Linked DNA regions of Macaca mulatta. The protein of the gene in region 2 interacts with the protein of the main gene of each other region in a biochemical or structural test. Links are inferred from orthologs where the notes say so. Each region holds a gene or a part of one and is shown on either strand. Other genes may lie near its edges.

The links.
Region 1: the proteins of DNM1L (region 2) and FIS1 form a complex in vitro, tested with the Homo sapiens proteins (2 studies listed by BioGRID). The link is inferred for Macaca mulatta from reciprocal best matches to the Homo sapiens genes DNM1L and FIS1.

What each region holds. Positions count from the first base shown.
Region 1 is NC_133408.1:48,509,825-48,513,787, reverse strand, and holds the start of FIS1 (mitochondrial fission 1 protein), read left to right. Parts: upstream 1-1,154; 5' UTR 1,155-1,248; coding exon 1,249-1,293; intron 1,294-2,130; coding exon 2,131-2,263; coding exon of another isoform or gene 2,264-2,307; intron 2,308-3,963. UniProt on the Homo sapiens protein: Involved in the fragmentation of the mitochondrial network and its perinuclear clustering. Plays a minor role in the recruitment and association of the fission mediator dynamin-related protein 1 (DNM1L) to the mitochondrial surface and mitochondrial fission.
Region 2 is NC_133416.1:34,936,647-34,939,867, forward strand, and holds part of DNM1L (dynamin-1-like protein), read left to right. Parts: intron 1-228; coding exon 229-261; intron 262-2,042; coding exon 2,043-2,219; intron 2,220-2,387; coding exon 2,388-2,497; intron 2,498-3,221. UniProt on the Homo sapiens protein: Functions in mitochondrial and peroxisomal division.

The DNA of each region.
Region 1 (3,963 bases), on a different chromosome or scaffold from region 2:
GGGCGCCTGTAGTCCTAGCTACTCAGGAGGCTGAGGCAGGAGAATGGCGTGAACCCAGGAGGCGGAGCTTGCAGTGAGCAGAGATCGCGCCACTGCACTCCAGCCTGGGCAACAGCGTGAGACTCCGTCTCAAAAAAAAAAAAAAAAAAAAAGAAAGTTACTACCTACCCAGTCCCCTCACTGCACAGAAACTGAAGCCAGATGTGTCCACACCTTTCTCCTTCCCATGCTCTGATAGCTCGTCTCTGCTAAGCTCCCCATTGCCCGTGACCCCATGTGGCAGGTTTCCCGCCTGGGGTGCACTCAGAAAATGGTTTATGTAAATAATATTGAAAAGATTGGACCTTCTCCGCAAAGAATGGGGCCGTTGCTTTTTGAAAAACTTCCTGTTGATAGTATCTCCTATGACTACCCCAATCTCTGGCTGTGTGGTTTACAGATCCAGTTGCCTCTGCTCTTGCATCGTGAGAGTCAGCAGAGGCCCAAGAAACCCCGATACTAGTTTGCTGCTGTTGGTGGGTTTTTTGAGACAAGGTCTCAGTCGCCCAAGCTGGAGTGCAGTGGAGTGCAGCCTCAAACTCCTGGGCTCAAGCGATCCTCCTGCCTCAGCCGCCCCAGTAGCTGGGAGTACAGGTGCACGCCACCACGGTGGTTAATTTTTTAAAACATTTTGTAAAGATAGGGTCTCGCTGTGTTGCTCAGGCTGGTCTTGAACTCCTGGCCTCCAGCGATCTTCCCGCCACGGCCTCCCAAGGTGTTGGGGTTACAGGCGTGAGCCACGGGCTCGGTCCCCAGTTCTAGTTACGATTTTGTTGCAGGCGGTGAAAAGTCACGTGGCCTCCAAAGTCCTAGATTTCTGAGGGGCGTCAGCTTGGCAGCCTAATGTAAAGTGATCTCCGACTGGCTACCCACCCTCCGCTTTTTGCTCTTTTCATCCTGGGGGCTAACCGCTAAGACATAGCCTCCAGTTTCCCTCGGGAAGCCTCCGCGGAGGAAGGCACCGGCTAGGGCATCCGGGAAGACCCATCTGGGGAAAGTCTCCCTACGTGCAGTCTGCGGGCTGAAGGGGCCGGAGGAGCCTGCGTACTAGCGTCCCGCTGGCCCTGCTGCGCTGAGAGGAAGGGGCGGGGCGTCGCCAGGTCGTGCCCGCATCCGCCGGACGCCGGAAGTGGCTCTCCGCCCCTGCCACTGGGCCATGGAGACTGTGGCACAGTAGATTGTAGTGTGAGGCTCACGGGGGCAGTGGCCATGGAGGCCGTGCTGAACGAGCTGGTGTCTGTGGAGGACCTGCTGGTGAGGCCTGGCCCGGACAGAGGGAAAGGGAAGGTCGGAGGGCGGGTCCTGAGGAGAGTCAGGTATGGGCCGAACCCTCCTCCCGGCATCGGCTTGGCGGAGGGAAGCCGAACTACGGCTCCCGGCAGCCTCCACAGTGTCTGGCTCCTGCCCGGAGGGCCCGCTATGCCGCAGAGGCTCCTGGGAGTTGTAGTGTCCTGAGCCCCCACACCTCAGAGTACGGGCCTGTTGCCCGACAGTGGTTAGACTGACGGGTTCTGGGATTATGCAGGAGCTGTGAGCTCAGGGCGCTCCTCCAGCGGTGGAGGAATACAGTGACCATCAGAAGGCGTCACCTATTACTGCGTCCGGCGCGGTGCTAAGGCATCGCATGCCAGATCTCAGTCCTTGTAGCTCTAGGAGGTAGGCACTACTTCTATTCCTGGACAGTAAAAGGTCCAGGCCCGGCAGGGTGGGGCAGGATGGGGCCAGCAGGCTCAAATGAGGACCGCGTGGGCTGTTGTTGAGCAGTTCTGACAGTGTGTTTACTGTTTGGCCGCCGGGGTCAGCTGCTCCGGGAGCGGTGCCTGGAGCTGCCACCAGGTGGCATCTCCGCTCGGTACCGCCGGGGGGAGGGGAGACCAGGGGCATCTGTCCCAAGAGCTGGCCCACAGGCCAGGAGGAGCCGAAAGCCTGGGTCCCGTGCATGGAGATAGCAGACGCTGGGGTGCCAGATACCGAGACCCACGAGGGAAAGGAGGCAGAGCCAGGGATATGGGGTGTGACTGACACCATGTCCAGATAGAGAATGGTTGACGCCCTTCATTTCTAAATGATTCCTTTCTTCCCCTGTGGCAGAAATTTGAAAAGAAATTTCAGTCTGAGAAGGCAGCAGGCTCGGTGTCCAAGAGCACGCAGTTTGAGTACGCCTGGTGCCTGGTGCGGAGCAAGTACAATGATGACATCCGTAAAGGCATCGTGCTGCTCGAGGGTGAGGCGCTGTACTCTCCCCTTCCCGCTGCCATCTGGGCTGCTGTACGATGTGGGCCCCCGTAGTCCAGGCACCTCTCAGTTGTCTCCCGTAGATTTACTGCACCAAGGGCTATACTTAGCTTGACGTCTCCCAGTGAACTTTTGGCTACTTACCGCCCACCATTGTTTTGCCAGACGGAGTCGTAGCTTGTCATTTCCCCCAGGACTATCTTGATCTGGGAAAGTGACTTGAGGTCACGCAACTAATAAGTTCATGGCTGAATTGGGACTAGAAGCTCCCGTTTTGTGAGACCTAGGCCCATGCCCTTCCCCCCAACACCACCACCGTGTTGCTTAGTTAGCAGCTATTGAGAATCTTTTGTGGCATGGAAGAGGTCCAGAGGACTGTCCTACAAAATTGTGAGCACATAGTGCTTTTTGTTTTTTTTGTTTGAGACGGAGTCTTGCTCTGTCCTCCAGGCTGGAGTACAGTGGTGCTGTCTCAGCTCACTGCAGCCGCCCCCTCCCGGTTCAAGCAATTCTCCTGCCTCAACAACAGGCGCCCACTACCATGCCCGGCTAATTTTTGTATTTTTAGTAGGAACAGGGTTTCACCTTGTTGGTCAGGCTGGTCTCGAACTCCTGACCTCAGGTGATCTGCCCACCTCGGCCTCCCAAAGTGTTGGGATTACAGGTGTGAGACACCGCGTCCAGCCAGATAGTGCTTTTTGGATTGGACCCCTATTTCCCATTGGTTTTGTGTGGGTCATCATTTGTCAGAGACCACAATACTTAACCACTTAATTTCTCTGTACCTCCTTTCTTTTGTTCAAGTAATCATTTATAAGCACACAGTCAGTGTACAGCCATCCCTCTGTAGCCATGGGGGATTGGTTCTAGGAACCCTGCCCCACAAATACCAATAGCCATCCAAGTCCCTTATATAAAATGGTGTGGTATTTACATGTAACCTGTGCACCTTCTCCTACATACTTTCAATCATCTGTAGATTACTTATAATACCAAATACAATGTAAATGCTGTGTAAATAGTATACTGTATTGTTTAGGGAATAATGGCAAAAAAAAAAAAGATCTGTTCATGTTCAGTACATATGCAACTATCTTTTTTTTTTTCCCTGAGTATCTTTGATCCATGTTCGTTGAATCCATGAATACAGAATGCCAACTGTGCTAGCAAAGGATGCCTATTGAAAATCTATAAAAATGGCCAGGCGCAGTGACTCACACCTGTAATCCCAGCACTTTGGGAGGCCAAGGCAGGCCGATCACGAGGTCAGGAGTTCAAGACCAGCCTGATCAACATGGTGAAACCGTCTCTACTAAAAATACGAAAATTAGCTGGGCGCGCACCTGTAATCCCAGCTACTCAGGAGGCTGAGGCAGGAGAATCACTTGAACTCGGGAGACAGGTTGCAGTGAGCCAAGATCACGCCATTGCACTCCAGCCTGGGCAACAGAACGAGACTCCGTCTCAAAGGAAAAAAAAAATCTATAAAATATTCTTTCTTAAAAGATACAAATAATTTTACCCTATGTTTGTCTACTTTGGCAATTCAGATTTTCAGGTTTATTCTACAGCAGGGTGTAGCTGTAGAAGAAACAGCCTCTCTAAGTGATTATCAACAAATTCTAGTGCATAGAGTACAGTTATCCTCTGGGAAGTCTCTGAATTAAGAAAGTTAGGTGGGGCCAGGCA
Region 2 (3,221 bases):
GGATACCATGCTAAGGTCAGATCACTTTAGTCTAATATATATTTTAAAATTATATAACAATGCAATGCAGAGTTTATATTGTTGACATGCTTTTGCTTGCAATATAGAAGATGCACACAGAAAAAGAAGTAATTTAAAGAGGAAATTATCCTGCACTTTTAAAATTTCAACCCATTGGTATTTAAATTTTGCTTGTTAAATTGCATGTTTTAACATATCTTTCAACAGTTAATTCAGGACAGCAGAAGAGAAACTAAAAATGTGAGTCTCTTGCTTCAGAATGGAAATGTTGGTACCTCTGGTTCTCACTGAAACACTGTCTGTAACACCATTAAATAACCTGTTTGTGTAGTGGTATCTATCTCTTGTCTGTGTTATGTTCTTAATGTTCCTTTTATCTAACCGGTGGAAGATGGCGTTAAACGTTTTAATTAGTAACAATAATAGGCTTTCTCACTGTTTTCTGTGACCTTCAAGAATAGTTTTAAATTTTGATAGGAAATTTAACATATTTTGATAGGAAATTCAGAGATTTCCTAGATTTCAGAGATGGAATTGTATTTTTGGACATTTCCTTTCCTCTTTAAAGATCTTGAGATCTGTTCAGTACTAATAGATAATCCTCTAATCTAATGCTTCTTTCTCATGCTTCCAGTTAGTTTGCACTTGTTACCCTATATATAGCTTCACATATGCTTCAGAAGCTTAAGCAAATTAAAAACAAACAGGGGGACTGTGAGAGTTTGAGACTGTTTTCAATTCTTAATAACCATTTTAGAGGAAAATTAAATAATGTATAAATTATTCAGACTCATTGCTATTTCAAGATTTTCTGCCATTTAGCTCCTTTCCTTAATTATCCAGATTTAAAGTTCTGAACTTGAGATAAAGGTTTATAAATGTCTTATCTTCTCTCAGCTCCACTGTGCTCAGATATTAAGCAAACCATCTAAATCACTGCACAAGTTTTATTTCATTCATGACATCACACTGAATGTGCTCACTCTCCTTAAGATTTCATTTGGTATGTCATTCATGTATAAAAACCTAATTACTCATTTTTAAGTTAATGTGTAATATAAATATACTAATATTTATAGTTCACCTTAACTGACATATTAAAGACAGATTTAAGCAAGTATTTCGATTCAGAATGCTACCCCAAACTACCATTTTTCTTACTGCCATAATCCTCTATTAAATTTATATAATCCATTTTTAGATTGTAAGGTCTTAAAGAATAACTAAAAAAAAAAAACCCTCTTAAATGTTGATGAATTATGTTTTTCCATTATAAAGTCATTTTTGACTTTTAGAAGTCAAGATTAATAAATTTTCTAGAAAATAAGGTGTAAAAGCACTTGTGATTAATGTGATAGCACTAGATTTCTTTCTGCAAATCCTTAAGAGTACAGAGGTTGAGGGGATTTCTGTTGTGTTTATCACATTCCACATTTGAAAGAACTCATAGTGACTGTCAGCCTACGAAAAGCAAATGTAGTCTTGCTTTTTGTTAAAGAGTTCCTACTGATACCTTATGGCATTTTGTTGACTATAGGAATGTAAATTGACTTGAAATACATAAACTCTTAACTTCAGAGACATAAGTTCATGGAACTTTTAGAGTTTAACAGTGTTTATGATTACTTAAATTAAACTGAATGGCAGTTCTTTGTGCTTTTAACGAGTAGTTTTGATTTTAAGGGCAGCATATACTTTTTCTACAATTTAGTGTTTGAAGGGTGGGAGAAGAGGAATGATTTTGAAAAGTTGGCGAGCGAATGATAAAGAAAAAAGGAATTAAATAGAACATAAATTGGTTGATGCCTTGCAAACAATTTACAGCAGAACCTCTTATTTAGCTAGGTCAGGGTTTCAGTTATACATGCTACCTACTGTCTCCTTCTGACCTCATTATCTGTATGAATAAACTTTAGATGGGTACTGGATGTATATTGACTACTGTCAAATAAAATGAACTTCGTTTTAGTTAAGGTCAGATATGATGTGGTTGGTATAGGTTTTGGAACATGTTTTTTCAGGTTGCATCTGGAGGTGGTGGGGTTGGAGATGGTGTTCAAGAACCAACAACAGGCAATTGGAGAGGAATGCTGAAGACTTCAAAAGCTGAAGAGTTATTAGCAGAAGAAAAATCAAAACCCATTCCAATTATGCCAGCCAGTCCACAAAAAGGTCATGCTGTGAATCTGCTGGATGTGGTAAGCCATGACACTTTGGTTTAGGTCTAATAAGATGACCAAGTTAGTAGGAAATTGATTAGACAGAAAGAACTAAAGTCTCAAAAACTTACATAACTTTCAGATGTTAAATGCTGCCATTTCAAAGTGTCACAAAAGTAACATTTTTCCCCCCTCATCCCTATTTAGCCAGTTCCTGTTGCACGGAAACTATCCGCTCGGGAACAGCGAGATTGTGAGGTTATTGAACGACTCATTAAATCATATTTTCTTATTGTCAGAAAGAATATTCAAGACAGGTTAGTATTACTTAATATAAATCACAGGCTCTAATACTGCTGGATGATTCTATGATCTGTTTTGAAAAATACATGTATTTTTTAAATTTTAGGTTTTTATTCTAAATCATCGAGTGGATTCTCTGATAGTCCTTTGGTAACTTGTAGCAAGACTCAGTTTGTTAACACAGAATGACTAGGACCTCATGTATCAGCTAGAAAAAGCTATTAAAATGAATCTTTTGTTCTATATGGCTGCCACATTTTGAGTCATTTAAGAAAATGTTTTTTTCCTAAATTTTAATTCAGTAGTTTCATTAACTATTTTGGCTAGTAACACTGACTTGCCTTTTTAATTTAACTTGGTTTTCCAAAGCATCAAAACGAGTGTCTTTTACTAAGAAATATGTATACGGTTTCTCGTTCAGAATGTTTTTGCATGTGTCTACTCCCCTACTGCATCTTCTCCTTCATGTTGCCTGGTATGTCATTTCATGCAGTAATAGGGAGAATACACATTTAGTTGTATGAAGTGATCTATTAGAAAATATTCTGTATCCAGTTTTTGGTAATCTGTCAGCAGCTAAGATGAATTTTACTGCACAGAGTAATAAATATACTTCATATTGAAATAAATGATTTTGTCTGTAGAACCATTTATCTTTTTTGCTTGTAGACTTTTTAAACCTGTAGCTTGTGGTAGAAATAATAGTTCCTAGTGTTTTACACTGTGGGCCTGAAGAAA